Rhinolophus ferrumequinum: one gene and its partners. The protein of the gene in region 1 binds, or shares a complex with, the protein of each later gene. Links are inferred from orthologs where the notes say so. Each region holds a gene or a part of one and is shown on either strand. Other genes may lie near its edges. The genes, in order: TXNL4A, PQBP1, AAR2 and LSM3.

Region 1 (7,729 bases):
GGCAGGTCAGGTTCAATACACCACATTCCAGGAGAAACATCAGGTTCGGCCTCAACACTGAACTTTTACTCACTTCAGAACAGCTGGGATATCCAAACAGGGCTCGTGACAAGGTGAGGAGGATCCCCCATTGTCTGCCATTTCTGCAGAGGGAGATTTTTAAACAGAGTTAAATTGTTCTTTACACTAAAGCCTTCGATTTCAAAAATTCCTGTTGAGCTTCTCCAGAGAGAGCTTCCAGAATTATAGTCTTATTTTGCCCTTATACTAAGAAGAAAATAAAACATTAATAGTCTTGGAATGCACTTCAAGTTTGCACTTTGAACTGCATATTATAATACAGTATTAAAAGTTTATTAAAATAAAAACCCAAATTTTTGGACAAAAGAAAAAGAGAAACTTCAAGACCAAACAAAAATATTCAAAGTGAGCCCAATTAAAACTGTCCTGATCAACAGGTTCAAAACAAAACAAAAAAAAGAATGTGTTTACTACTGACACGGCTGTAACCTCAGTCTGTAACTGACAGAAAGGAATTAGGAAAGAACAACTCTGGTGAAAGTCCCTGAACACTTACGTTAACTCACAAAATATGCCTCCTAGCTAAGAGCATCTTGCTGAGTTTTGCTCAGACAGGAAGAGCCAACCAACCCTCAGGTCTCCAGCCATCCTGGCCTCGTGCTGAGGGCAGCAGGATCGGACATCACCTGGAGGTTATGCCGCCACCTGTGAGGCAGAATCGAGAACACACACCCTGAGTTATTTCAAAGTCAACAAGCTAATGATTTGCTTATTGGAGAAGTGCTTGGTCGTCTTCACTGAAGTCAGCAGTAGCTGCCCTTGACCTCTACAGCTTGAACAATGAATAAATGACTCCCTGGTACCACCTGACTCATGACCTCTGACCCCAACTGGGAGGCCCCCTAGTGTAAGCCAACAGCCCTCTCCAGAGCTCCCCAGGCACCTCCTCAAGCTCCTCAATGTCTTGGTGTCCAAGAGGAAGAGGAGGGGATCGCTGACAGACGCAGCACTCCTATGATAACCCTGACCTCTGTTGAGGGGTTTCTGAGAGTCACATCACAGTTCCCAAGGGAACTTCTTAATGACACAGTTTCGGGACCTCACCCCAGACCTACAGATTCAGAATCACTATTATGCCCTTTGGTAAGTAGTGCCAGTGGTACCTATGACGACTGACATGGAAGCTGCACAACGCACCACCCACACCTCACTCTTCTACCAAACATGAGACAGTAAAAATTAGCAATGGCAGGTCAGATAGCTTTTCCTTTCTTAAATTCAAAATATATCCTTACATCTGATACTATTCACTCAAAGGTGTTATTTTAACCCAGCTTATTTTAGCATCTCCTATTCCCATGAAAGATGTCTTCAGTGTTTCCACTTTTACTGTTCATTAAAATGAATGTCCTCTCAAATCATTTATAGAATATTAATAAGTTAATTATTTCATGAAAACCCCAATATATTTGCCTTTTGTCCTCTTGCAACAATTGCAAAAATACAAATCAAAGCTAACTTAAAATCGCCACAAGGAAATTATAAACAAAAGAATTACATGTCTGGTTATACAATAGTGCCCTACAATTGCACTTTTATTGTCATCCCATAAGTGCCACAGACAAACCAGTGTACTAATATTAAAAATTAGGAAAACTAGCTGTAACAAAGCACAATTCTACTTTCTTCTACCAGGCCCTTCATTTAAATCACTCTAAGCTATAAATCTAGTGACTTACAAAGAGCATGGTGGGGTAAAGAAAAGAAAAACGACAAAAAGAAAAAGAACAGGATTTATTATGCTATTAACATAAGAGTTCTGCTTTATAAATTCAACAAATAAACACAGTCCCCCAAAAAGGACAATCCTTTTAAACTAAGCTATTTAAAATAAGCTCCAACGCCCTTGCCAAAGTCTGCAAATGTGTTTTGTTCATGGTGCTACAGATGTATAGTCTGAAAATATCCTATCCCTAGGATTTATTAACTTATTTCAGGAGAGGGATCACGAACCTCTTTAAAATTTGAAAATGTATGGAAACTTTTCCCAGAAAAAGACATGTGCTATTACGTACGATTTCAGGGAGCACATCCTCACCTCACAAGGTAAAAATCTGTCCGTGTGTTAATCCTGCGTCTTCCCTTTATTTGGAGGCTGTGCCGCACATTAGAAATTAAGGCCTTAAGAATAAACATAGAATGCAGTTTTTAACCTCACTTTAAAATTTTCCCGCCAACTGGCAAAGCGGACGGTGGATCGCAACGTGAAGCTATGGGGCTGCGTTACCTTTTCCGCTATGCTGTACAGAACCTCGTCCATTTTCATGCACGTGGGGTCCCAATCGTGTCCAAACCGAATGACGACCACTCGGTCTTCTTCCGAAAGGATGGCCTGATCCACCTGCCAGCCGTTGTGCAAGTGCGGGAGCATGTACGACATCCTGGCGACTGAACTGGCCCCTGCGCGAGAGGAACTCGGTGGACGAGCTTCTTCCGCCTCAGCCACAGCGCGCGGCGCTGGCGGGGGCTGCCGCGCCGCTCCCCACAGACCAGGACCCCGCTCCCCGCCGGGCCCCGATCCCACGCCGGGCCCCGCTCTCCGCCCGGCCCGGCCCGGCCCACACGCCCAGCCCAACTCCCCGTCGGGCCCCGATCCCCGCCGAACCCACTTCCCGCGGAATCCCGCTCCCTGCACCTCGGCTCACACGCACCTCCCGCGAAGCGGTCACCCCCGGCGCGGACGCGCACTAACGTGCCCTGACGTGCACGTGCGCGTGTCTGCCGAGCGTGCGTCCGCCGTGCGTGCCCGTCGTGCGTGCGCGTGTCCGCAGCTGGGAGGCCTCGCGCTGGGTTCTGGTGGTTGCAGCGAGTTTTGCTGCGAGGGATGGCTGCGGTGGGTTGTGAGACCTGTTGTCTGTCCGGTGAGAGCGTCAGAGAGCCCGGGCTTCCCCGCGACATCCCCGCGACCGGCGGGAGGCGGCGCTGAACTGAGAGGACTCCATGAGCCCCGCGGAGGCGGCGGCGGACGGAGAGGACCGCGGGCGGTGGTGGGGCCGCCCCGAGAGGTGGGCACCTCTGCGGCGGGGCGTGTCCCCTTCACTCCCACGCGGAGGCCCCAGAGTAGTCGTTTTGGCGCTCACCCGTTCCAGACATAAACACGTGTGGGGACAGAGCCCCAAAAAGCAGTTTCCAGGCTCTCGGCCTCACATAGAAAGGTGCTGGCTCAGGTAGTAAATGGCCATCGACTGTGATCAAACGGCCGTCAGCTGTAACCAGTGAGCCATTGGCCACTAATATAACTGCCGTGGCTAGGCTAGCAGCAAATGGGGGCTAGCAAGAAGATGGTGGCTGAGCCTGCAAGCGGCGCAGTGAGGGGTGAGAATTGTGTGGCTCCTGGTCCCTGTGTCTCCAACCCAGCCGCCAGCGAGAGTAGAGTGGTGTGACTGCCCTACCTATGGCTCCGTGGGTGTTCCTGTTTGGCCTCACCATATCCTGCGTTCTTATGTGGGGAGCGGGACCAGAGACCCCGCAGGACACCCTGCATGACACATGGTGAAGTCGGCAGGATCCCCTGCCCTACAACACGGTTCGCTTTACTTGTCAAAAGCAGTATATTAACAGAAGTACGCCAAGCTAATGCACAAGACTCCAATGCCCCCAAATAATTTACTGCGACTAGCGTTTCTACATTCTATGTGGTGAAGTACATGTCAAGTGACCATTCTAATCCCATTGAAGCATTCAGTGGCATTCACTACGTTTGCCTGGTTCGCCTCGTTTGCAGCCGTCAGCACTGTCTGTCTTCAGATAGTAGGTCTTTTGTTCAAAAGCTTTGTTGAGGCAGCATTCACACAGACTGTGATGTGAAAGTCACCCACTTAAGGTCAAGTTGTTCAGAGTTGTGGAACCAACTCTTCTCTTACCAGACACACAATATGGAAATAGTTCCTCCCATTCTGTGGATTGACTTTGCACTTTTTATTGGTGTCATTTGTAGCACAAGTTTTAAATTTTGAATAAGACCAATGTATGTATTTTGTTTCTTTTATTGCTTGTGCTTTTGGTGTCATATCTGAGAAACCATTGCCTAATTGAAGTTCATGATGTTTACTCCTGTTTCCTTCCAAGAGTTTTTTTACTTTTAACTCTTATATTTAGGTTTGTGACCATTTTAAGTTAATTTTTGTGTATTTTGTTAGATAGGTGTCCAGCTTAATTTTTTTTTTTTTTAAGGAGGGCCCATCTCACAGTGGCACATGTGGGGATCAAAATGGAAACCTTGGTGTTACCAGCACCACGCTCTAACCAACTGAGCTAACCGGCCACCCCCCAGCTTCATTCTTTTGCACGTAGATATCCAGTTGTCCCACACCATTTATTGGAAAGGTTATTTCCCAACCAAATTGTTGAAAATCAATTGACTTTATAAGGATTTTTTTCTGTAGTGTTAATTCTATTCATCTATCTCTCTGTGTAGTCTTATGTCAGTATCACTATCTTAATTAATGTAAATTCGTAGCATTACCGCTGACACCAGGGGTTGTGTCCAAACCAAAACAAAACATGAGCAGAAGTTTGCAGCAGAGAACGAAAAGGTGTATTTAAGGAATTGGCACCAAGTCCCGAGACACGGGTGAGCTATTGCTCTCAAAGACCTGGCTCCCCGATGGCTCTAGCAGCCAGGTTACAGGAGGGAACAATCATTAATCGTGGTCTCTATGGGAGTGGGGGTCGTGGGCTCCACTAATTGGTCGGGGCCAAAGCAGAGAGCAGTTGGTCATGGCTGTGGGTCCTGGTGTCAGTCATGGCCTTGTTTGATCCAGTTCGCAGGGGGTGCGGTTGTGGGGCCGATCCGCTTTCATGAGTCCAGAGCTGAAGCATAACTGAGGCCAAGGGTCAAACCTTGTTCTAGTTGGAGGTTTGGTGGTTGTGTCTTGGTCATGATTGATAGACCTGACGCTTTATTCTTAAGTGAATTTGGTGTTGACCAGAACCCAGTGTCCTAAGGGCTTAAATGCAAGTGAATCATAGTTTTATCAGGATAAACAAAGCCTGCTTGGATTAAAGCAATATGCATGCTATAAGAAATGAAGTTCACGTACTGTGTTAGTAGTAAGTCTAGAAATCAGGAAGTGACTCCTCCAGTTTTGTTCCTTTTCAAGATTGGTTTGGCTTTTCTGCGTCCTTTGCATTCCATATGAACTTTAGGATGAGTTTGTCAATTTCTGCAAAAAAGGCAGCTGGGATTTTGATAGGAAATGTTGAATCTGTACTCCAATTTAGGGAGTATTGCTGTCTTAATATTATGTTTTCCAGTCCATGGATACGGGAGGTCTTTCTGTTTATTTAGGTCTTTATTTTCTATGGAATTATTATTATTTTTTAAACTTTTTTATTTATTTAAGTGTGTTTTTCCAGGACCCATCAGCTCCAAGTCAAGTAGTTGTTTCAGTCTAGTTGTGGAGGGCGCAGCTCACACTGGCCCATGTGGGAGTCGAACTGGCAACTCTGGTGTTATGAGCATCGCACTGTAACCCACTGAGCTAACTGGCTGCCCCTTCTCTGCAATTATTTTAAATAATTTCAGGTTATTCATAACTAGTGTGTAGAAATACAATTGGTGTTTGTATACTGATCTTGCATTCTGCAACCTTACAGTGTTGGGAGGCAGGATGCCATCCATTTTTCCCAGTGGTTTATCACCACTGTCCAGGAGGGATGCTGAAACAGGAGGGAATGCCCCAGGGGTCTTCTGGAGAGATTTCAGGTCAGGAAGAGTCCCCTCATCCAAACGGAAACTCTCAAAATAGCCCTTACAAATTCACAGTATTTGTAGTTTCAACGTCCCTTTGCCATAGTGGCTTCTCCACATCCTCCTATCAATAAGCCCCCAGAGGGACCACGGGCCGCTTAGTTATCAAGGACAACAGATGTAGCACTACTTACTTCATTGTAAGCGTGCCCCCTAGGATGTCATGGCGTGGGCCGGAGACTGGACCGAGCTCTGCCGCGTGGGCGTGGCTGTGACCCCAGACCTCACCTGGGATAGGTGAGCCACGTTAAAGTCCTGACACGCATCCTGACCCGTATTTCAAGATCCTAAAGGATTTAACAGGGGAAAACCAACGTTGTTATTATTTATTCCTGCCGCGTTTGAGAGGTTTAAGGTGGCTTCAGGGACTCTGCTAGAAATTAAAGGTCAATTTGTACAGGTATTTATTTTTCTGAGCTATAGGCAATGGCAGATTAAGCTTTAAATGGGTAAAATTCAGGTACTCACTGTTAGGCATGGCTGGCGGAATGAGTGAGTTGCGAGCGACCAAAATTGGTCTATTAGAATTTATTTGGCATGTTTGAGCTGCAAAGATCATAACCTCCCCCAGCAAAAAGGGGTATAGAGTTTTATAGGTGGGGGTAAACAAAGTTGTTCCCCCTTCAATGCTTCAGGGGGTTTTTGTTGCATTGTCTCTAGCAGCAAAGGGTTTCAGGGCATGACCTAGCCCTCCTGCTGGCTCCACACCCTGGCCCCCAGGCCTCCGTCTGCCCAGGCCCACTGATCACAAGCCCCTAGGAGCCAGAGTTCAAAGCAAGACAGGATAAGCTGGTTTCTGCTTTCCTGGAGGCTTCTCCAGGCCTAAGGCAAACATTAGTGAAAGATACAAGGCCTAAAGCAGGATGAGATGGCTTTTAAGATACGAAGCTTCCTGTTCCTGGCCTAAATATGGCCTAACACTCACATCAGATTTTAGCTCATAGTTTATTCCCTTATAGGAATCTAGTTTTTCAGGAGTGTAGCACCTGTTTTTGCTGAGACACATTGTGGTTTTAAATTATATTGGGCTTGTTGATACCTGGTGACTAAAGAAACATCACAAAAGATGAAAACAGTTCAGTTTTCATCAATCCCTCACTAGCAAACAGATTGTCAAGGACTCCGAACTCTTTGGCATAGCTGAATCTTTTAGGTCCCCTTATCTAGTCATGTACTGATCAGATAATTTTCCATGCTAAGATAATATCATGCGAAGGATAAGAAAGCAGAGGGGCTTCAGCCTCTTTTCTGAGTCTCTTGTGCACAATTTGGGCCAGGAGTCTGTGTGAGAGACAGAGAGCAAACACTTTTGATTTTATACTCATGATGGGGACAGAAAACTACTGTAGGTGAGATGAGAATAGACTTTGAAAGGGGTTGGAGAGAGAAGAGGGCAGGTTTGGCAGGGAGGGGAACAAAAGCCAGCTGGTGCTGATTTAAGGCAAGTCTTGGTACATGAGGGTGATTTGGGGTATATTGGACCCACCTGTCAAATATTAAGAGTGGAAGATGTGTGAGGAATAGGATTTTAAGGAATTTCACTGTGTTTTATGAATTCACTCTCCCTCTTCGGTGTAATTTTGTTCATTTTTAGAGACAGGTAAATATTAATATCTGAATTGCTCAGATTTAAACATTAGTAACTTGCATCCACTGAAAGCTTATAGTTGACTCTCCAGACTCTGCATATTATCTCTATGGGATATACTCAAAAGGAGTCAGGAGGCTTTAGCTAGAAATAAATGAGGAAGATTTATTCAAAGGTCTTGGGGCTTGCAAATCGGCAATACCCAGAGTGTTCCAAAGGAGCAAGAAAAGTCAGAGTGTTAGTTAAAAGAAGACTCAGTTCTGCATTCTGAGCCCCTAGATCGGTCCAAGATGATATTCATCAGATGT
Region 2 (7,721 bases), on another chromosome or scaffold:
TCCCGGCGATGGTGGCGCCGATCTTTGCCCTCCTCCCGGTCCACCTTGTCATACCCGCGGTCTCGGTCCCGCTCCCGGTCCCGCTCTCGCTCTCTGTCCACCTTGTCATAGCCACGTTCTCGGTCTCTGTCAGACTTCTCGTGGCTCCGGTCCGACTTCTCGTGGCCCCGGTCCGACTTCTCGTGGCTCCGGTCCGACTTCTCGTGGCTCCTGTCCAATTTCTCATGGCTCCGGTCCAACTTCTCCTCAGCATCTGGGGACATAAGAACCTTGAAGTGACCTTCCTTGTCCCATCCCAGGACCCAGTTAACTTCTGCTTTTAACAGCCTCTCCTGCTTGGGGCTGGGCCTGCCAGTCCCACCTGCCCCTCTGGATCCATTGTCATTTACTGAGCCCTCTCTGAGAACTGCTGGAAGCACTCGAGGCACCCTCGGGCCTGCCCACTCACCTGCATTACTGCTCCTGAGCTTCTTGGAAGATTTGGTCACGACGGAGTTGGGATCATGTGGGGAGAGCCAGGACACGAGGTCTGTGTCCACATTCCAGTAGTAAGGGAGCCCGCTGCTTGGCAGTGAGGAGGGAAGGAGTGTCAGCACAGATATCCTCTCCTGGTCTCCTCAACTCCTGCTCCCCAATCTCCGCCTATATCTGCCCCATGTCAGGACCCCCCAGGGAGGACCCCCAGATATCTTCCCGTGCCCTTTCATTTACCCCAGTGCCAGAGGCAGCACAGGAAAGGGGAAGTGAGAAGTTAGCTGCTCCTCTCCCCCAGGTCCCCGAGCTCACCAGGAAGGGTCGAACACCTTATACCAACTTGGTGGCAGGCCTTCCAGCCGCGTGGCCTCGTAGTCCACGGGGTCGTCGTCATAGTCCTCGGCAATGATCTCTTCCTCTGGTTCTGCCAGGACGGAGAGGACAACAGCAGTAAGGGTCGGGGACTCTCATCCTACCGTTCTTGTCTGGAAAGATGTGCACATTCACACGGACACGCGTGTGTGTGCCACGTCTCACTGGCCGTGGCACATGCTGCTCACATTCCAAGTCCAAGCATCTGAACAGTAGACTTAATGTGCACCTAAATCTGTCCCGTTCCTGGGTTCAGATACGATATACTGTTACCCAAGTCTATCTAGTTGAAAGGTTTAGATAGGGATTCATCAAAACATGGATCCATAGTCATTCAGTTCCTGAGTTCAGGGAGTACGGAACAGCACACTATCCAAATCTATTTGGATAAAATGAGTTTCAACAGCAAGGGGTTTATCTGAAGTAAGTCCGGAAGCTCCCAAGCTTGGCAAATGCAGGGTTTCGGACTCTTGTATTTTGAGTAACAAGAATTTGGATAGCAAGGAATTTATCCCAACACCACTCTGAATCCATTCAGTTCCCGAGGCCTGACGCATACAGTGGTCGGTTAATATCAATAGAACAAAAAAGGTGTATATTGTCAGCTCAGTACCCGGCCCTCTCAGGAGGCCTATCACAGATTTCAGCTGTGGGTATAACTAACACTGAAATTTATATGTCAGCAACAGCATTCATACTGTAGGCCCCAAAGAGGTCAGCTATAATCATCAGTATGTTTTTTTCTTAATTAAAGTTTATTGGGGTGACAATTGTTAGTAAAGTTACGTAGATTTCAGGTGTACAAATTCATCGGTATTGTTAATAAGATAAATACCATCAGCACAGGGCCTAGCACCCAATAGGCTTAAATATCAATAATCATTAGTAACATTAACCACAAGATCTCTGCCCAGCACACATTAGGTTTATAATGTCACTATTCATTAAGGTGGAAATAAGATGTATTTTCCTGGCACACTATAGCCCCAAATAGATGCCAGATTTTACTATCATTGACAATAAAGTATAAATAGCAGCAGCAGCAGCAAGTAGGCCTAAATGATAGATCCTATCATTATTTTATACTGTTAACCATAAGGTGTACGCCAAAATACATGCCAGCTATTGATATGGTGAACAATAACATATATATCACCAGCATAATATCTGGCACCACAGTAGGTCTGAAAAATGTTATCTATCAGTATGGTAAAGAACACATTATCGACATCCGGCCACTGTCCTCAGTGCACAGAGGCCTGTAGTAGGTGACAGCTATCCTTACTATTAGACACTTTGTAATCACTTCATGGATTGATGGATAGATTGAACCTGGCATGCAGTAGGCCCAAATAGGTATGTGGGGCCTACTTGTCAATATTAAGGATGAGATGTCTATCTCCCCCGCGCCCTCCTCCCCGCCCCCCCTCCACTGCTTGGTGCACAGTGGGCCCATGCTGGCTATCAAGTGGCAGTATCAACAACAAAGTGTCTGTCAAGCCTGGCATCTGCTCTTTAGCTCTCTCACCGGGCTCCAGATGTTTGAGAATGCCTCTCTTGGCCAACCGGGTCTGCAGCGCAACGGGCAGCGGCATAGTGAGTAACAAACAGACCTAGGGACGGAAGGACAAGACTAAAACAGCTCAGGTGAAAATTCGAATCTGGATTCTATAACCAAGCGCGTCCCGGCAGCATGTACTCATCTGGACTCCCACCTCCCCACCTCCATTAGTAGCTGGGCAGAAGGAAGCTGTGCTAAAAGGTGGAAGAGACAGGTAGAAAAATCACCAAAACCCTCACCAACCCTCCTCTCCAGGACCGATGCTCCACAACCCAGTTCCTCTCCCAGGCCCAGATTCCAACCACTGCCGAAGGAGCCGAAAGCGGCTTCCCTGCGCCCCAGAAATGGGTGCACCCAACATCCCCCAAAGACTGCTGGGTGGGCGGAACCAAAACGCTGGGATGGGGGTGCACAGTAGAGCACCTCCCTCAGCTCCAAAAAAATGCATGCTCCCGGAAATTACCAATACAGTCACGCGGGTAGCAGAAGGCTGTCAGACTGGCCGCCTCACTGTCCTCGCTGCTCCGATCACCAGGACGTCACTATTCGCTTCTCCCAAAGAACAGAAACAGCTACTCTCTCCCTGAGACTTGAACTACCTGGGAGAGTACGCCGCGGTGAACAGATGATGCAACCTGGGTAGCCAATGAGAGTGCGTCATTGGCCTGACCTACGGCGCAGCAATCCAATCTGGTTTTGGGATAGGTGGAAAGCTCGGCTCTGTGTGCGTTTACGGCGTGGGCGTGGCCTAGCCTGGGTTTAGGCAGATTGCACGGGCCGGACGCTGGCGCCATGGAGGAGTACGCTCGGGAGCCCTGGTACGGCGATGGCCACAGGCCTCGGGAGTGTCGCTGCGGCATCACGGCCAGCTGTGGGAGGCGGGCGGGGGAGGCACCGGCCCCAGAGCGCCACGGCCCAGAATCGGGAGACGTTTAGTTGTCTCCTTCTCTCCTCCATTTGTTCCCTCCCACTTGGGCTCCGTTAAGAGGGACCACAACCGTGTGCCTGGAGAACAACTCCACGTTTCCCGTGTCCGTATCTCTCAGCGCCTTTGTTAACGAAAATAGACACACTGGTCGAATCCATTTCCGCCGCGGGGGTGATAAGCTGTGAGCGGAAATCCCCAGAGCTACCATGCGTGGTTTTTCCCAGGTCCCTTTAGTGAGGGGGGCGGGGCCTGGATGAGCCTATTGTGAGCAAGGAGGAGGTGCTGGATCCTCCCCACAGTCTGCTCTTGGTTTTTCCCATTTGTGCGTGGTTAAGAGAGGGAAGCGGGCGGGGCTTGCTTCGACGTGTTAGTTGTCGGAGAAGGGGGGTTGCGACCCGTCCTGCTTTAATAGTACTAGCGAGTTAACACTTCTGTAGGGATTATTATAAAGTGCCAACTCTACGTGTATCAATTCATTTAATCTTTGATAGTAAAGTGGTTGGCTGATTCCTTGGTTGGCTGCAAAGGGAAGGGGCGGAGAGGGCAAAGACTAATTTTTCCCTTTTTGCCCTATTTCTTGCTTAAATGGGGGGGGGATAATCTGTTCTCTGAAGTGCTACTTCCCATTTGGGTGACTTGGTTTCTCCCAGTTGAAAGAATCCACGTGACGTAGCATAGGAGGGCTCACATTAACCCCATCCTCCCCTTCACACTTGCAGCCCATGGCGAATTGTCGATGACTGCGGTGGAGCCTTCACTATGGGTGTCATCGGTGGTGGAGTCTTCCAGGCCATCAAGGGCTTCAGAAATGCCCCTGTCGTGAGTCCTGGCCTTCTCTGGGTGGTGTGGGGATCCTGCCCTGCCAGCACAGGGTACTGCTCTGAAAACTGCTGGGAGCTGCCAGTCACATACACTTAATCATTCTGGTGCCTGCTCACGTACTATGTGCCTGGCCTGGCTCCCGGATCTGGGGTTTTGGGGAACTGCAAACATGGCCACTGTCCCTCACCCCTCAACTGGAGCGCCTCTGGAAATGCTGTGCTGTGAAAACAGTCATCACTGTCGACGTAAGAATGTCCAAACCCGTAGAAAAAAATGTATAAGAGTTTATTTGAGCCCAACAGAGAATACGTCTGGAAGCAAGATCTCAACAGACAGAAAAATGCTTCCCAGAATGACAGTTTGCAATTTTATACATTTGGAATTAGTGGGGAACATAAGGATTACATGAATGTGGGAGAAAGCAAGGCAGGGAAATCTCTATGATTGGATTACAGGATAGTTAACAAGATTATTCTCTTGTGGGTGGTTACACTTCCTCAGGGGTCTGAAAAAGACACATTTCAAAGGTGTGTTATCCTAGATAAACAACGGACAGCGCTTGCTTAATGCAGAGATAACCTTTTACTAGGGAAGCTATAGTCCTGATCAGTCAGATCACCCAGTGAGGTTACGTTCCATTAGATTTATTTCAGAGATCCCTTTCCATCCATATCACCAAATCATATATGTGTGTGTAAAGCTAGACGAATTTTACCTATAGGCAGATTCTGGGTCAGAAACCTGGATAGAGGGAAGTAACAGTATAATTGGCAGAAGGAGGACAGCCTTAAAGTTAAGAAAATGCTTTTAATTTAACATAATCAGTTCTGTCTCTTTCTCTGACACGCCCTCCTGGGAGAGCTCAGCAAGTGTCATACTTTGAATGCCATCCATTTGCCAGGGTCTCTGCAATTTATATATCTGGCCCTGTCCCTCCCCTCAACTCCGACAACTCTTTCCTGGATCTTTGCCCAAGTTTCTCTCATCCTCAAGGTCTCAGCACAAATGATCCCTCATTAAAGAGGTCTTTCCTTACCCCTCAGCTGCTATCATATCTCTTCATCCTATTTCCTCTAGGGTATGTATTGCCGTCTGAAGTTGTCTTGTTTATCTGTACCCTTACTCAGGATTTGTGTCTCCCACTGTAATGGGAATTCTGAGAGGGCAGGGGCCAGGTCTGCCTTGTTCAATGCTGCGTCCCTGCATGCAGCATGGTACCTGGCCCATAGGTGCTCAGTCATCGATGGATGGAAACTCAACCCAGCTCTGAGAACACCTAGGTTGGGGTACTAACCAGCCCCCTAGTTCTTGGCCACTGCTCTACATCTCTACCTCTGATACTCCTAACAGGACTCCCACCCCCTTTCCTCTGCAAAGCTAAAAGCCCCGTCTGCCAGTGGCCTCAGCCCTCCTCTGACACCCTTCCTCCTCACCTTCCCTAGGGAATTCAGCACCGATTGAGAGGTAGTGTCAACGCTGTGAGGATCCGAGCCCCCCAGATTGGAGGTGAGAAGCTTGGGGAGACAGGAGATGTGATGGCAAAGTTGGCAGTGGTCGCTCCTTTGGGTCTAGACCACAAGTTGGGGGTCCGGGTTTGAGCCCCAACTCCGCCTGGGACTTCCTGGGGGAGTAATGTTTCCCAACAATTTAATATCGCTGAGTTCTGGAGTTTTAAGTCTAGACTCGGGCTCTTCCCTGATTTGTGACCTTGGGCTCTAATCTCTCCAAACCTCATCTCTAACGGGAATGACGATAGCAGTAACCACCCCAGTCATTTTGTAATGGATGTAATTTACGTAGCACTTACTGAGTGCCAGTTGCTCTGCTAAGCACTTTAATAATAGTAACTAATTTAAAATTTCAGAAGTCAAATAACAAGCAGTGCCTAGGTCAGGTCCTGGCACACAGTAAGTAAGGCCTCAGTAAACAGTTTAACTATCATATTGTTAACTGGCTTTCCTAACCTGTTACCTTCTTGCTGAAACCAAGATCAGAACTCCAACTCTATGTGGTGGTTATGAAGATCAAAGTTAAAAGCCATATGGAAGGTAAATGTGCTTATAAACACTTGTCACCTCCCTGTGAAGGAGAAGAGACAGCTTGAAGAGGAGCTACCATAGGGACAGATGTGGGGAGTATCCCCTAGGAGTTCGCTCTCTCCCTTTGCATCTGGTTTTTCTCCCTTTTTTTTTTTTTTTTTTTTTTGCCATAGCCTTCAGGCCTGGGGAGTCCCCAGTCTCTGAGCTGTGGATTCTTGGGATTTCCCTAGGACACTAATTAGGCCTCTGTCCCCCTGTAGGTAGCTTTGCGGTGTGGGGGGGCCTGTTCTCCACCATCGATTGCGGCCTGGTGCGGCTGCGGGGCAAAGAAGATCCCTGGAACTCTATCACCAGTGGAGCGTTGACCGGGGCTGTGCTGGCTGCCCGCAGTGAGTACCCCCAGCCCTGGCCCCAGCCCCCTCCACCCTGTTCTGCTGGCCCTCACCTCTCCCCCTGCCTCCTCACTCCTCCAGGTGGCCCATTGGCCATGGTGGGCTCAGCAATGATGGGGGGCATCCTGTTGGCGCTCATCGAGGGTGTCGGCATCCTCCTCACTCGCTACACTGCCCAGCAGTTCCGCAATGGTGAGTACCTGGCCACGCGGGTCAGGGAGAAGTGGGAAATGCTCTGCCTAGCCACCTCTGCTCACCTGTACCTGATTCTTCCCTTTCCAGCACCCCCGTTCCTGGAGGACCCCAGCCAGCTGCCCCCTAAGGAGAGTACCCAGGCCCCAGGCTACCCCAGCTATCAGCAGTACCACTGAAGAAGTGACCGCCTGTCGCCACCATCATGGGAGCGCCTCCTAGGTTCCCTCCCCGATGATCTACCTCGAAGGGAGGGCTGGCTCCCACTTGGCCCTGGGACCCCCCGGAGAGGGCCTCTCTGCTCTCTCCGCTCCCTTGTCCCAGGGTGGGCGTGGGGCACCCCAGCTGCCCTGATGGACGGGTCCCCTTCACTCAGGGCACCCCAGCCCCACATTCATAATGTAACAAGCTCTCACCCCAGCCCCTTCCTTTGGCACCCTGATGAGTATTTAAAGCCAGTCTTGAAACGCCTATGGATGTACTCCTTGAGCCAGCTATGGGAGCCTCTCCTTAAGACAAGGGGCAGAGCCCTCGTCAGGGACTCAGAAGCCCTAGGATTTGGAGTCCCACAGAGAGTGGGCTCTAGTAAATGTGGGATGAATGAGCAGGAAAGGGAATGAATCAGGATGAGAATAGGTACATGAATAAGTGTGTCTGAGGGCCAAGTGATGAATCATAAGCAGACAGAGGCACAGGCTTGGGAAAGAAATGAGGGAACACAAGGATTGCTGGGGTGGACAGGGTGGTTCTGCATGTCGCACCCCTAATTCCTCCCCCCAAAGCCCCCATTGCCAACGCTAGGAAATCTGACCACAGAATGCACTCTCATTCTGGACGCTGGTCACTCGACTGGTAGGAAGGTAATCCTCCATGTGGCCTCCCCATGCACCTGGGATGAAAGTAGGGGTCAGGGAGACCAGGCTTCTTTGAAGAAGGTGCCC
Region 3 (7,992 bases), on another chromosome or scaffold:
TCTGGGGCAGGGGAGAGGTCTACCTCTTCCAGGACTGCGTTCCAGCGCAGGACCATCAGCCCCCGCTGCTGCAGGCTAAGGAAGAAGCCCATCCGAGGGCCCACCTCCCTGGGGTAGGCCTTGTCCACAGAGCTGTAGTGAAGGAAGTGGATGCCTGGTGGGATCATTTTCACACCCCGGAACTTGGGCCCCACCTCCCAGGAGTTGTAGTCAATGCCAAACTCTGTCCCCTTGGGCATATTCAAGATGACCACAGTGGCCCCTTCAAAGAAGAGGTGCTTGGCAAGTTCAGGATCCATCTGCGTAGCAGCCATGGACCAGTGGTGGGTGACCAAAAGGAGAACCCTTCTTGTCTTTCAGAATAGCTGAAAAAAGAAAGAAATCAGAGTTCATCAGAAGTTGGGGAAGCATACTTCATTTGCTGAGCATTCTCTATGTGTCAGATACTGAATTAGACTCCTGACATAATTATCTCCCAGAAGTTATCTCCTCACACAACCCTACATCAGCTTTATACATGAGAAAAATGAGAAAGAGAGAAGAGGATTTTCGTGTTTTGGTTTAATGAGCAAGAACACTCACTTTATAACTGCAAAGGCATGAAAGAGAAGTGACATGTTCAACGTCACACAAATTAGAACCTGGGTACCCTGCCCTCCAGGCCAGTGTTCTGTTCATTGTCCACTTAGGATCTGCTCTCAGATCACTCTCCCAACAGAAGATGAAGGTGGAGAAAGCCTGGATGGTCCATTCTAACCTATAACTCTGCCTAACCTATTGCTGGAGAAACCCAGGAGTTGAAAAGGATGATTAAATCAAGCATACACCCAGTTTCCCACAAACCTCAGGGAAGGCCCAGAAATGGACAGAGGTGGAAAGTGGATGCTCAGCATCTAAAATTCACACTAGATCGGGGAGGTGAAGAGTCTGTTAACCACAAACCTCCCCTTCTCCTTTTATGCATAAAAACCTAAAGTCCAAGGAGTGAAACAACTTCTCAAAGGGCCTAGTCAGTGGCAGCTCTGGACCACTAGCCCAGAATGGATTCAGGTGGCATGGCTGGCCTAGGACCAGTATTTAGAAGAGAAAGAGCTCAGAACATTTATTTTACCTACCTCTGGACAACCCATGAGGACACACTGTAAAAATTCTGTAGGCAGACAAACACTGCCTGCGTGGTATTTATTTATAAGACTGGTTCCAACATGAACTAACTTAAACCAAACAATCATCTAACCTTCTAGTCCTAAGACACCTACCTATTCAGTTTAACAAATAATCACTAAATGCCTGCACTGTGCCAGGATCTTTACCAGGCACTTAATAAAACATCCAGTGGAAGACGGTCACTGTCCTGTAGGTACTTCCAATCTAGCCAGACATACGAACAAGAGCCCAAAATTTCATAAACAGAAGAACCAACTGCCTGTTTAATTCTCTTTACTTTTTCTTTTAAACAAACAAAACAGTGAGGAACAGAAGACTAACCCTTTTCCAAAAATGTTAAGGGCCTATTTTACCGTCTTAACTTAAAAAACACTACAAATGACTCTCATTCTACATCAGCATTTTTTTTTCAGACTTCATGTCACACCTCATTAATGGGTCAAGAAATCAATTTAGAGAGTCTCAACCAGCATTAATTTTTTTAAAACAAAAAGAACAGAATTTTAAAAAAAATCAAAGCGCAGCGGGTGTAGTATAAATCACTGTTTTTTGAAGCTTTGTGGGTTTGTACGTCCTTTTGGTTGCAACGTAAAGTGTATTTGTTCCCATCGGTCACAGTCAAAAAAGTCTGAAAGTCACTGTTCTAAATAATTTATATATCATCATCTTCCTATTCCCAAACCTGATTTCAAAAGGTACTTAAATAAATATTTGCTAAATGAACAGCTCCTGCTTTTAGAGTAAGTGCTCATCGATTAGCTACTTTCCCTTACAGTAGTGGCACCTGTATGCTCCTCCTTGATAATGACATTCCTCTTGTTCTAATTCCACCAGCCTGTACTAGTCATTATATCTTCAGCAGCTGACACATGTCCTGGCACAGAGAAGCAGCCCTGGAATGCAGAAAGTCACATCTACCCAATTCTCTCCACCACCTCCTTAATCTAAGCTACCACATCCCTCACCCAGAGTGCTTGCCCCTCCAATCCATTCTCCATCCAACAGCCAGAGTGAGCTTTACAAAATGCCAATCTAAGCATGTCACCACCCACACTTAATACCCTGTGAGTGGCTTCCCATGTGGCTCTTGGAGAACCAAAATTCTTACCATGACCTCCAAGGCGTGCATGGTCTGCTTCCTGGCAACTCCTTACGCTTGTTTCAGAACACGATCCCCCACCAAGCCCTCTGTTCCAGTCACATCTTTTTCAGACACTCAAACGGGAGGCTCCTCTGGAGAGAGAACTCTTCGTTCCCCTCTCTGTCAAATCGGTTTTCTGATCTCAATATTCCCTCCTCGGTCAAGCTTCCTTGACGCTGGGCTAGATCAGGTTTCCTGTGTGATCCACTCATGGCGTCTTGTGCCTTTTCATTTCACTTATCAAGGTTGCAATTTTGCCTACATTTAATAGAGGGCTGTCAGTCACCTCCATGAGACCTCAGTCTTTTTGTACCTCTAGCACATATTAGACGCTTTAATAATAAAAACATGATATCCGTTTTGCAGTTGAGAAACAAAGGCTCAGTTCGGAGAAAGACCTTACCTAAGTTACAGAGAATCGGACCGAATCACGTCGGACGTAGCCAATGTGTCGGGCCCCCAAGTTCTAAAGTTAAGAAAAAAGGGAAGTTACGCCGGGTGCTCTAGGAAGTACTGGCGACGGTTTCTCGGGCACAGGCCTGCAGAGACATCGGCGTCCCACCACTGGCCCACAGATCGGGACGCGGCTGTCCCAGCGAGACGCCCTAGTTCAGGGCACTCCGTGATCCGGAGCGGGACAGAGGGGTGGCCCCGCCAAATGACAACGAAGCAGAGGAGTTAAACCACCGCACTCACCAGCCTCGGTCTCACTCCCCGCGCAGACACAGCGGAAACGCCCCGGAAGTTGTACCGCTTAGGCGTAGGACAAGCGCCACGGGAAAAGCGGCCCGGCAGAGCTCTTGGTCACGGAAGGAACGGTCCGCGCCTGCAGATTCCGCCTCATAAAACCTTTTGCTTTTCGTTAACTCGTTTTAGCTCCTGAGCCGTGGATGACAACTTTCGTCAAACTGTGCATTTTTATATCCCGCTCCAGAAACACATCCACCAGCCATGGTCCTTTGATCTCAGTCCTGGTCACTGAAGCTGGGGTCAAGGTCATGGCTGCTCAGTAGCCACAGTCAGATGCTCAGTCATGGTCCTGGTCAGCCAATCTCTACCTGAGTGACAGTGTCACAGCTGGCTTATTATCACCCAGTCTCAGCTTCCAACCACACTCAGGACTAAGAGAGAGCCTTAGAAACCCAGCTCCCAAACTAGAGAGAACCAGTCTCAGCCATAGTAGTCACCGTGTCAATCTCTCCATCCGTAATCACCCAATATCCTCTGGCAGGACAGACCTAGCTGATAACTCAGTCAGGCTATATCGGTGCCCTGAGGGTGGTTACCTGCCTGTCTTGTTCTCTACTGTTTCCCCGGAACCTAGCACAAAATAGGCACAAAGGTTCAGCTCAGTATATATATTATGCATTTAATTAATGACAGTAATTTGGTATTAATAAATGGCTTCTATTTTGGGGCCTCGCCCTGTGCTGAGTGGCTGTACCACTCAGGGTCCAACCAAAGAAGCAGAGCCAATAGGTGATATATATTATGAGACTTATTGCAAGGAATTGACTCATGTGATGGTGAGGGCTGGCTGCGTAAGTCCAAAATCCACAGGGCAGGCCATTCGCATATGATTTCTAAACCTTACAATACCCTAATAAGCAGGTATTAGTATTCCCAACTTACAGAAGAGAAAACTGAGGCTCAGAGAGGTTACACAGTCAGAGTGGTGGAGCTAGGGTGCAAACCCAGGTCTCGTCCTTGTGCTGCTACTCCTTAGCTTGTGTGTCATACTTCCTCAGTGACAGCTGGACACGCCAATCTGTCTCAGTCAAAATTCATCTCTTAGTGGGTATAGACCAGACTGGACCCTGCGGTCATGGTTAATCACAATGAGCTGCTGCAGGATTAACCAGAGATGGCTTCCATTAGTTACAGTCATGGACGCCAATCTCAGCCTGTTGTGTCAGGTCCACTTCCGGCATGAAGAAGCTCAGCTCTCTCCTCGCCCCTCCCTATTCCCAGTCTTAGGTGCTGAGCTCTCTGGTCTGGTTGTCAGACCTCTCTGTTCCAGCCAGGCTCGCCATCATCTCAGAGACTCCAGGGTACTATACTATGGGCATGGAAGCTGTGGATGGTGTCCCGGAAACCCCACTTTGTGGGTCCTATGTCCATCCAGATTAGGTTTCTCAACCTTGGTACTACTGATATTTGGGGCCAGATAATTCTTTGTTATGGGGGTTGTCCTGTGATTGTAGGATGTTTAGCAGCACCCCTGGCCTCTACCCAGCAGATGCCAGTAGCACCCCTCAGTGTGTCAACCAAAAATGTCTCCAGATATTGCTAAATGTTCCCTGGGGGGTAAAACACACACACCCCCACCCATGTTAAGAACCACTGATACAGATGAAACACACAGTTTACTCCCAGGCAGCACAGAGGCTGGCTCTGTATTTATGGGAGAGAGAGATACAGATCCAAGACGTGTGGGGACCCAATGTTTGCAAACCAAATCCTATTGCAGAACCCCAAGTGTGACAGATAGCTAAAGGAAACCTGGGGAAATTCAGAGAAGGAGTAACAAAGCTCCTGGAAGGAATTGCCTTTGGCAAGACAGGAGTCTGTAGAGGGTTGAAGAATTGCTTTTCACTGCATAGCATTCTGTATAATTTAATGAAGAAATAGTATTAGTATTTGAAATTACAGTGAAGTGCTCGGGATTTAAGTTTTAAAAAGTATTTAGAATGGTATGTACAAGGTAACTTCAAATCTGGAAAAAATACTTGGACGTGGAAAAAGTCTGGAAGAAAATGCACCAAATGATTACCGGTGTTCTTGCTTGTGAAATTTTGGGCAATAAAGAAAGGCAGTCTGGTGTGAGTTGCTTAGTGGAATAAAAAGGAAAGTGCTGGTGCGTGCACCTCAGGTAGTCCAAGGGGTGAGTTTAAGTTTTACATGGATTACTTTTAATATTTTTGCATTTCTTTTTATGAAGACCTCCTTTCTTTGGCAAATGACAATAGTTTTCCATTTGTGGAAGTAATATAGTTTCTTTTTTAAATAAACATTTTTTTTTACACAATTTAAAGAAAAATGATAAGTCAGTAACAAGCCAGGTGGCACATATGGGGATACGGCAACACGTGTGAAGGCAGTGGGCCAAGGCTGGAGTTGAGGGAGGGTGGCTGTATACATTATCCGCTAGGCTCCCATGGAGCAGGGGTGCAGGAAGAGCCCCTGCGGTAGGTGCTCTTCTTTCAGGGAGGAGAGAGACTGCTGTTCCTGCACACACCGAGCCCCCGTGTCCTGGGGCACCCCCGCATGCTTACTGTTCCTTCCGCCTAGAAGGCTCTTGCCCAAGTTCTTCACCTTCCTGGATATTTCTCTTCATTCAGCTCACAAATATAACCTCCCTAGGGAGCCTGTAATTGGCCACCTTATTGAAGATGGTCTCCTTCAGTGACCATCCCCCCATGTGCATTTCCTTCCTGGTGCCCATGCCTCACTCGGGTATTGTCTCTGCCTGCCTGTTGTGTTGTCTGTTTCCTCCACCAGCCTCTGGGTTCCTGGAGGACGAGGACTTTGTCTTATTTGCTGTTGCACCTGCAAAGCCTACTGCAAGCACTGGACCACACTGGGAGCTACAAACATTTCTTGAATGAAAGTGTTCTAGGTTGGGATCTCTGCACTCCAGTTTCAGCTCTACTCAAAATGCGAACTTGTACTGGTAGTGAAAGATGGAGAGAGAGAGAGAGAGAGAGAGAGAGAGAGAGAGAGAGAGAGGGGAGGTGTGGGGAGAGAGATGTGCGCCAAGGCAGTTGTGGTTCAGCATCAAACACATTTATTTCACTTTTATTGAGTATACAAGAACAGAGAGCACACGCATACAGCACGGAGCACTGAGGTGGGGGAGCGCGGGGACCAGAGAGGAGAGAGGGGTGTGAATAAAAAGGAACAGGACAGCATCTCAGTTGGTTGGTAAGGAGCTTTTGGAAAAAAAAAAAATTGGAGTGATGTTGCTCATGCAATTTCAGGCCAGTCTTGGAATGTGCTTGCAGGATTCAAAAACTGAGACAGGTCCTGGCACTTCCTGTACCCTCAGATTGAAAAGATTCTGAGAAAGCAAAATAAAATGAAAATCTGTAGGATGGCAGAGGGGGGAAAAGACCCTGGAGAGCATCTGGTTTATCTTCTTCATTTCACAAGTGGGGAAACAGAGGCCCCAGATGAGGCACAGGACTAGCTCAATGTCACAGGGTGAGTTAGGGGCTAAGCCAGAATGGCCGCCCAGAACTCCTGACTGCCCTCTGGGACTTTTTCCACTATGCTACATGGGCTCCTGGGTGGAAAGGCAGCACAGAAAGGATGAGAAATATAAAAAAGAAAAGTAGGTTGAAGACAGACAAGACAAATGTCTATATTCCATGAAGAGGAGGATGGGGAGAAACAGTGTCCTAGATTTCAGTTTTGCAGCTCCCCTCCTCCCTGGTGGCGCTGCCTGCCTCTCCATGGAAGGAAAGTCAGAACATCTGTGGGACGGAGATTGCCACCAACCCTGGCTGGCCCACGAGCTATGCCGGGTCACTTCATCCCTGCACTGAAGCCACACACCCCGGGTCTGCAGGCAGGTGTAGAACCCAGAAAAAAATATTCTCCCTCTGAAGGATGTCCAGTGTGTTCAGATGCCTGGTTCCAGCAAAGACAGGGGTGCCTGAGCCAAATTCTGGGTAGCCCAGAGAGGGTGAAGCCACTCCGGCTCTTGACCCAGAAAGAGTGGAAGCTCTCAGGTTGAGAAGGGCAAGAAGGAGGTTCTGTGGCTTCTTTACCAGGATTGTAAAAAGAACCTGCTGCATAGAAAGTGTGCTGTCACATTTGGGGGGGAGTTGGAGAGGACGACCGACCTGCTGCGGGTAGCGGTGGGGGTGGGGGTGGGGGATGCGGAGACTCTGCCATCTGATGCCCAGGTTCAGGGCTCTCTGCCCTCTCCATCCCATGTGGCCCACAGACGCATACTATCCTTGTCCTGCCTCAGGTGAGCACCAGCTAAACAGCTAAGCATGCAGAGCCTCGGGGTTACTGATCAGCAAGCCTGCGCCCTCTAGAGGACATCCCTGGGCAAAGTCCCAGAATCGGGAGAGAATGTGGAGATGCGCTCAGAGGGGGCAGCCATGGTTGGAGATATAACGCTTGCTCAGGGGCTTCCCAGGGCCCTCCCTCCCCCGCCCCCCCACTCTCTCCTTTAGTCCAAGAAGAGTGCCTGGCATCAGTAGGTACTCAGTAGTTGTTGAATGACTTTATTGACTGCTTTAGAAGCAGGACTGGGGAGGTGAGATGGGACTGAGAAATTAAAATGCAGTGGGGACATCCTTGCTCACAGGAGACTCACTGAGCTCAGGGAAGCAGCCTGTGGCAGGAAAGCCTGGGAAAGCCCCTGTGTGCCCGAGATCAATGCCAAGCTTTTCATAGGGTGTTTCCAAGGGTTTCTGTGGTCTCGAGGCAATTTCTGGGACTCTGAGGGCACAGACTCCGAGCTCAGAGGCTGACTGAAGGGGAGGTCTCCAAAGCCAGGGTCTTCTACATCGATAGAGACTTGAGCAGCACCACCTTTCATCCACAGCTTGTTCTAGGGGAGGTAAAGCCTTCGGGAATACACTTTTGACCTGTTAGGGTTTACCCTGTGTTCACGGTCTCTACCGTGGCTGCTTTGGCCCAGGAAGAAGAGAATGATTCAGACAGAA
Region 4 (7,460 bases), on another chromosome or scaffold:
TATGGGAGTGAGGCTGAAGTCAGACTGCCTAGGTTCATCTTCTGGCCCTGACTTTTCTGACTGTCACCTTACACAGATGACTTCACGTTTCTGAGGCTGAGCTTCTTCAACTATAAAACAGGGATATTTAGTATCTACCCACAGAGGGTTGTTATAAAGATCAAAAGAGATGTGTATTACATACAAAACACTTAGACTAGTACCTGACATATAATTAATGCTCAATAAACTTTAATTATTTTTAACCTCTTTAGGGTAGAATGGCAGTAATAAAAACAACACACTCTGGAAAGCAACATGTTATCAAGAAGAGGCAAAACCTTCAATTACTCTTTTTATGAATAAATAGGACTACTTTAAAGGACCAATCCTATAGAAATATTTGCAGATGCACACAAAGAAATATGTATTAAATATGTATTAAAATGCTTACTGCAGTATTATTTATAGTAACAAAAAAATGGAAAACAATCTAAATATCACTATTACCATATAAAGAATTCTATGTAGTAATTAAAAAGAATAGAGAAGATCTATATGCACTCATGATCAATGATTTCCAAGATTCAGTGAAAAAGAAAAGTGCCCAAAAATATGTATAGCAAGATCCCATTTATTTTAGTGGTGGTATAGTGCAAATATATGCATATGGACACGTATTATAAATACATACGTGTAAATATACAGAAAATACCTTAAAAACCATAGACCCAATTTTTAACAGTGGTTACCAGTAGAAGAAATGGGATTTCACCTTTTACGGCATGTATTTCTGTGCTATTTAAGTTTTTTCACAAGAAAATACAAATTATGCATATGTCAGTAATTAAAAAAACACTTAAATAAGAATGGAGAATAAATGTTATCTGCAAATAAATAGAAGGGTAAAATATGAAAGAAATGAAAATGTTCTTTAATAAACACATTATTTCTGGTAAGAGAAAAAAATGTTAAAATATGAATAAAATAGAGTTGTATTTGTGTTATAGAAATATGGGTAGCTGCCACCTTCCTCTCTGCATTCCAAACACTGTTCCACAGTTGAGAGTTTTTACATTTCAAAGGCGTGGGAGTAGGGAGGGAAAACAAGGAAATAACCTGATTTCAAGGTAATTTAATAGATTTACTTACATGTAATCTACCTCGAAGCTCTCTGTCATTTCTCATTTTCACATAAATTCGCTCATCCAGGCTGAGCCTGATGAGATCCAGGGGTTCTTCTACGGTGTTGGTAGTTTGTTGCTGATTAAAAAAACAAGCTTAGTAATATAGTACTAGAGAGAGTGTAGTGTTTGAATCATTGCTACGCTGCATTGACTGTGAGCAAGTAACTTAACCCCTCTATGCTTTCCTTAGTCGTCTATCCAGTAAAATGTGGATAACAGTGCCTACTTAATACCATTGTTGTGAGGCTTAAGTGACATATGTGAAGGCTTAGAACAGTACCTGGCGCATAGTAAGCGCTATATAAACGAGAACTGAAAGAAACATACACAGGAAGGAGTTATACAGCAAAATAATCATGACTATACTTTGTTCCCTCAAAATCCAAGCTGCTTGACACAACTTCAGGACATAGGGAGTCACTCTCAGGGACGTTAGCCTTATCTCAAATATCATTTAGTAATCTGAATAACACTGACTTAATGACTACTACACAAGTCAGAACGCTAAGCAGAGATGAAAATGTGAAGGAAAATGAGTTCAGTACAGGGCACGCTGAGTTTAGGGTGCCGACTGGCCAATAAGATGAGTATACTCAGCAGGCAGTACAGAATACTGGCTGAAAGCACTGGCTTTGGAGTCCTGCAGCGTGCGTTCAAGGGAAAAAGTCCTGTCCTCAACTGGTCCCCAACCTCAGTTCAACAGCTGTTTGTTAAGGACCAGGTAACCAACTACTAGACTACAATGATACAGAAGTCAGCCTCTGCCCTCAAAGCAGCTCATTCTATTTGGGAGAAGCATATAAATCATTACAATACTGTAAGAATATACACGCTGACAGAGGCCTACTGCTCCTTTAGCCTGGGTCCTGAATGCTCTCTGTCTGCTTTTTTCATCCTATTCAGCTTTAAACATTGCCTTTTCAAAGAGGCCTCCCTGATCATCCAATTCATTCCCTCAATACCTAAATATCTGCCGAGTGGTTCCAGCACTGTTCTAAATCCACCCAGGGCAGAATAGTACACAAAACTCCTCGTAAGAAATTCACATTTTAGTTGGGGGACACAGACATTAAACAAAGCAGCATATACTTAATATGAACACATAACATGCTATGAAGAAAAATAAAACAAACTCGGGAGAGTGCTATTTTATGTAGCTGGCCAGAGAAGTCCTCTTTGATGAAGCGAGGCTTCAGTAGAAAGCTTGAGAAGTTGCGGCCTGATCACAACGATATCTGAGGAAGAGCATTTTGGGAAGAAGGAAGAGCAGGTGAGAAAGCCTGTAGGACCAGCAGTTATTCTGTATACCAGTTCCTTGCTCGTTTCCACATCCCAGTTCCTATATATCACACGTATTTATCTGTCCTCCCTCGCAATATAAGCTCCAAGTGGAGACAGGGATCACGTATGTCAATCCCTGTGACTCTGGTGCTTAGAACGGTGTGTAAACCATACAGAGTTGATGTTCACTACATGTTTATTGAATGAGTAATCATTGTTGCGGTCAAGTAATTGTTGCGCGATAATTACCGCGCTTTCTATCAGAATCCCGACAGCTCTGCGAGGCAGGCAGGGACAATTACTGCCATTCTATGGATAAAGGTGAGACTCAAGAGAAAGGAAGTGAGGAGCGGGAGGGGTAACTTAGTTTTCTGGCGGATTTGGAAGTAGAAAAGATCTCAGAGCCTGAGGCAAAATTAAAGGCCGTGACGACCCGGAAAGAGGCGACATGATAGGACACCGTCCCGTGAACTTGAAGAAAGCAGCCGGGTATGCAAAGCCGAACAGGGCCAGGGCGCGGAGTGGGGAAGCCGCTCTGGAGTGAGTTCCTCAGGGGACACTCACCTGGTCCACGTCGTCCGCCATGTTTCAAACCCTGCGCCTTTTCTCGCCTCTCGCGATATCACGCCCCTCCAGTCTCCGGAAACACGAGGACGCAATGCACCGGAAGTAGAAAAAAATTTGTTTTGCGTCTTCTTGCTTCCTGCAGTTTGCATTTGTCACTTGGGACTGGGACGGCGCTTCCTCTGGGGGCGTGTGCTTGGTCCATAAAGGAGGGGCGTGGTCATGCCTCTCCCCGCCTTGGGGTGTAGACCACGCGGGTGCAGCTTCCCGCGGTTTGGTGCGTCACTCGCGAAGCGAGCCCTCCCCGGGGTAGATGGCTCGGAGTCGCGCAGCCGGCAGGGAGCTGCGGGGACGCGAACTGCGCAGCCAGAAGGCCAAGGGCAAGAGCACGGCTGGGCGGCAGGAGAAGGAGGAGGGTGAGAGCGAGGCCGAGCCGTGTTTAGGGAGAGATGCTGAAAGAGATCCGGAAGCAGGCCCGGGTGCGGGGAGTGGGGGAGCCAGCTTCCTGGAGGTGGGGGGCGGAGACTGTTCCGCGCCGGTCTGCGCTGAGAAGACCACTTGACGGTGGCCAAGGGAAGCTGGCGTTTGTGCCGCTGCCCCGGTCCTCCCCGTCGCTGTGCCTTTGTTCTCACTCGAGGAGTGACGCACCCTGAGCGGTTCCCCTGGAGCCCAACTTGACCTGGAGCTCCCCTGCGTCGCCTCTTTCCTGCTCCCTGTGGCCCACAGGATAAAGTCCAACCTCCTGGTAGATGCGAAGGGCTAAACAGGGAAAAGACATTGTACTTGTTTTGTGTCCGTAGAAGAACAGAACGTAGTTTGTGGTGTGCTGACTCCCAGAATAGTATCTTCAGCTAAATCTCACCCCAGAGTTCCAGATTTGGATCCAACCCGACTTCACGTGGATATCGAATAGGCTTCTTATGTTTGTCATGTGCAAAGCAAGACTCTTGATTTTCCCCTTTCAACCTGCCTCTTCCCCACTTTTTCCCATCTCAGTAAATGATCCTTCCCCCACTTGTTTAAACAAACCAACCCCTCCTTTTCCATACACGAGCACATCCGTCCAATCCTTCAGCAAGTCCTGTCAGTTCATCCTCAGAAGTATAGCACATCTCTTCACTTCTCTTTATTTCCAAGGCCACAGCCCCTGCCCAAGCCACCATTACTTGAAACTTGAACGACTGCAGTTACCTTTTTATTGGTCTTCCCTTCCTTCCCCTGCAATAATTCTCCACCCAGCAGCCCAAGTGATCTTTCAAAACCAAAATCAGATCCTTCCATGCTCCTCCTTCAAACCCTCTGTGGTGTCCCATTGCTCGTGGCATAAAATCCAAATCCCTCATCATGGCCTACAAGATCCTACAGGATTTGGCTGTTGCTTCCTCCTTTTTGTCTCCTACCCCTCTTTTGTTTGCCAGATACTCTCCTTATTGGTCTCCTTTCTGTTCCTCACGCATGCCATGTTCTCACATTGAACCTTTGTGTTTGATGTTCTTTCTGCCTAGAATGTTCTTCCATGGTTCTTGGCTGTGGCTGATTCTTCTATTGTGCCCTAAGGTGTCCTTCACCAGGTGCTCTGTATCACAGAGGCCCTCACAGCTTCTGTCACAATCTGTAATGATCTTGTTAATTTCTTTGCTTCCTTTTTAATCACCCATCTTAATAGAATTTAAGCTTCATGAACGCATCTTATTTTTTTTGATGTATCCTCTCGTCTCCCCCCAGCATATACTAAGTGCTCAATAAGTATTTTAAGTAATTGTAAAATACTTGCTGTGGAGGGATTTTGGGGGTTCCTGAAATAATTGGGTAGTAGATTAGACTGGGTAACCAACAGGGCCTCCTATGACACTAGATTCAATGATTCTGTGATTCTGTACATATGACAAGGCAATCATCCATTAGGAAATAGTCAAAAGATAGCAATTTCTAAACTTAAAAGGTGATTTACTTCGCACTAATACTATGAGTTTCATTTAGTTCATTTACTCATTAAAATGACCTTTGAATATTTTTTGAGTATCTGGTTGGTGCTGTACATGAGCTAGGTAACGTGGGAGACAGAGATTTGAAGGAGCTTAGAATATAGTAGTGTTGACATTTACAAAAATTATCCAAGGCAGAGTGTGATATTGTGGGAGAAGGTACAGGGCTTTGTGGCTTCTGAAGAAATAATCAAGTTTGGCTGGAGAGCTTGGGAAATGCTCTCTGGAGGAGCTAGGTTTGATCTGTAACTTTAGGGATGGATAATATTTCAGCAAGAGGCCGTGAAAGGGGGTTAGTATTCTAGTCAGAAGGAATCTATTTTGTCTGAATATGTGGCAATTCAAAAATTAAAAGTTTTAATCTGATGGAAATGCCACCTGCTTGGGTAGCATTCCTTCTAGCTAAACACTTCACCTGGGCACCAGTTTGGTATAGCTCCAGCGCTCAGTTGTTATGTGCACTTGGGTAAATTATCCTGGACAGATAATTGAGCCATTCGAAACTTGATCTGTGAAACATAATCCTACCTTGCAGGGTGGTTGTGATTTTTCAGTGAGATAGTATGTAAAGTTCCTGGCATGGTCCATGTTAGGTAATCAGTTGGGCTAGTTCATATCAGTTCAGGCTAAATGGATGTCAGGATGCACCTAAGCTTCACTCAAACTCTGACAACCAGAGTAATTAAGTTCTCAGGGCAGCTTCCAAGATCTGAAGAGTTAGAATCTTTGTTGTGCTTTGGTGGAGGAACAAATGTAGTTTGAGCTGCGGGTGATACTAATTTGGTGACTTGTTTCTAACAGCGCAACAGTGTAGGTTTTGACATCACCTTAGTGCATGCAATGAAATGATAGTAGTGAACAAGACCGCAAGGTCCCTGCTCTCGTGGTCCTTATAATCTTTGGAGAGAGGTAGGTACATAGAACAGACAATAAATTAAAAATAAATTCACATGGTGATAAGAGCTATGAAGAAAGTAAAACAGATTACTGTAATAAAACTGACACGGAGGTGGGGAAGACGCAGCTAAGAATCAATGATCAGGGAAGGCCTCTGAGGAGGTGACAGTTTGAGCCAGTTACTGAATGTCCTGAAGGCACCATTCATAGGAGGTTCTGGGGGAAAAGAGTTCTCAGCAGAGGGAACAGTACATTTAAAGAGTCTTAGGAGGGAATGAGCTTGGCCAGTTGGCTTGACACAGTGAGTGAGTGAGGGGGCGAGTGGCAGGAATTGAGTTGAGAGAGGTGGGCAGGGCCCTTAGTTTGTATTTTATTTTAAGTGCTATGAGATGCTACTGGCAGGTTTAAGCAGGTGTTCTTATTAAATTTCAGTGGATGGCCAAGCAAACCACAGTAGTAATTCCTGCCCTACTGAAATAACCGCATTGAATTCAGAGCAGCTGGTTAGCCATGTTAGATAGCCCTAGATCTTGGAGAATCCTAGAAAATAGCCTCTAGATTCTCTGGGACAAAAAACACAGCAAAGAATAAAGAAAAAAAAGTCTATATTTCCATCATCCAGAAATAACCACCACTAAACAGTGGTATATTTCCTTCTAGTCTGTGTTCTTGTGTATAGTAGAAAACACTGTAAAAACCACTTTGCATGCTTAGCATTTTATCCTAGATCTTTTTCCTTTGTCTTAAAAGATGACTGAGTTATATTTCATTGTGTGACTGTACTGATTTAATGATTATCTCATGGTTGGACATTCTGATTTTTCTTTTTTTAATTATTTAATTTTTTAGTTACAGTTGACATTCAATATTATTTCGTTAGTTTCAGGTGTACATAATAATGGTTAGACATTTATATAATTTATGCAGTGATCCCCCAGTTAGTCTAGTACCCACCAGGCACTATACATAGTTATTACAATATTGTTGACTATATTCCCTCTGCTGTAGTTTACATCCCCTTGACTATTTCGTAACAACCAATTTGTACTTCTTAATCCTTTCATCCTTTTCACCCATTCCCCCACCCCCCCTTCCACCTGTGAATCATCAGTTGTCAGTAGTTAAGAGTTTATTTCTGTTTTGTTTGTTTATTTTGTTCTTTAGATTGCACAGATAAGTGAGATCATACGTATTTGTCTTCCTCTGTTTGACTTATTTCATTTAGCATTATACCTTCTAGATCCATCCATGTTGTTGCAAATGGTAACATTTTATTCCTTTTTATGGCTGAGTAATATTCCATTGTATATATGTACCACTCTTCTTTATCCAGTTGCCTATTGATGGGCACTTGGGTTGCTTCCATATCTTGGCTATTACTAGTAATGCTGCAGTGAACACAGGGGTGCATATATCTTTTGGAATTAGTGTTTTGGATTTCTTCAGATAAATACCCAGAAGTGGAATTGCTGGGTCATATGGTAGTTCTATTTTTAATTGTTTACGGAACCTCCAAAACCATTTTCCATAGTGGCTGTACCAGTTTGCAATCCCACCAACAGTGTAC

The links.
Region 2: the proteins of TXNL4A (region 1) and PQBP1 are in contact, whole or in part, in a crystal structure (PDB 4BWQ), measured with the Homo sapiens proteins. The link is inferred for Rhinolophus ferrumequinum from reciprocal best matches to the Homo sapiens genes TXNL4A and PQBP1. Residues at the interface, in NP_006692.1 of Homo sapiens: Gly11, Trp12, Val14, Asp15, Ile18, Asp68, Phe69, Met72, Tyr73, Glu74, Met82, Phe84, Asn87, His89, Met91, Gly97, Asn98, Asn99, Asn100, Lys101, Leu129; in NP_001027553.1 of Homo sapiens: Gln241, Gln242, Arg243, Pro244, Tyr245, Pro246, Ser247, Pro248, Gly249, Val251, Leu252, Ala254, Asn255.
Region 3: TXNL4A (region 1) and AAR2 share a complex: the UniProt entries of both Homo sapiens proteins name them as parts of the U5 snRNP complex. The link is inferred for Rhinolophus ferrumequinum from reciprocal best matches to the Homo sapiens genes TXNL4A and AAR2.
Region 4: TXNL4A (region 1) and LSM3 share a complex: the UniProt entries of both Homo sapiens proteins name them as parts of the precatalytic spliceosome. The link is inferred for Rhinolophus ferrumequinum from reciprocal best matches to the Homo sapiens genes TXNL4A and LSM3.

The regions. Positions count from the first base shown.
Region 1 is NC_046302.1:60,340,860-60,348,588, forward strand, and holds the start of TXNL4A (thioredoxin-like protein 4A), read right to left. Parts: upstream 3,010-7,729; 5' UTR 2,980-3,009; coding exon 2,733-2,979; exon of another isoform or gene 2,691-2,732; intron 2,482-2,690; coding exon 2,309-2,481; intron 727-2,308; exon of another isoform or gene 578-726; intron 144-577; exon of another isoform or gene 74-143; intron 1-73. UniProt on the Homo sapiens protein: Plays a role in pre-mRNA splicing as component of the U5 snRNP and U4/U6-U5 tri-snRNP complexes that are involved in spliceosome assembly, and as component of the precatalytic spliceosome (spliceosome B complex).
Region 2 is NC_046284.1:85,759,231-85,766,951, forward strand, and holds the start of PQBP1 (polyglutamine-binding protein 1), read right to left. Parts: upstream 3,008-7,721; 5' UTR 2,871-3,007; intron 2,803-2,870; exon of another isoform or gene 2,647-2,802; intron 2,460-2,646; 5' UTR 2,442-2,459; coding exon 2,375-2,441; intron 899-2,374; coding exon 787-898; intron 565-786; coding exon 449-564; intron 254-448; coding exon 1-253. Other genes in the region: TIMM17B (mitochondrial import inner membrane translocase subunit Tim17-B), read left to right, coding at 3,200-3,225, 4,055-4,154, 5,600-5,663, 6,457-6,585, 6,670-6,780, 6,871-6,959. UniProt on the Homo sapiens protein: Intrinsically disordered protein that acts as a scaffold, and which is involved in different processes, such as pre-mRNA splicing, transcription regulation, innate immunity and neuron development.
Region 3 is NC_046306.1:19,429,841-19,437,832, forward strand, and holds the start of AAR2 (protein AAR2 homolog), read right to left. Parts: upstream 3,141-7,992; 5' UTR 3,005-3,140; exon of another isoform or gene 2,712-3,004; intron 2,567-2,711; exon of another isoform or gene 2,276-2,566; intron 366-2,275; 5' UTR 315-365; coding exon 1-314. UniProt on the Homo sapiens protein: Component of the U5 snRNP complex that is required for spliceosome assembly and for pre-mRNA splicing.
Region 4 is NC_046300.1:40,459,631-40,467,090, reverse strand, and holds the start of LSM3 (U6 snRNA-associated Sm-like protein LSm3), read right to left. Parts: upstream 3,129-7,460; 5' UTR 3,033-3,128; coding exon 3,012-3,032; intron 1,243-3,011; coding exon 1,132-1,242; intron 1-1,131. Other genes in the region: XPC (DNA repair protein complementing XP-C cells), read left to right, coding at 3,325-3,427. UniProt on the Homo sapiens protein: Plays a role in pre-mRNA splicing as component of the U4/U6-U5 tri-snRNP complex that is involved in spliceosome assembly, and as component of the precatalytic spliceosome (spliceosome B complex).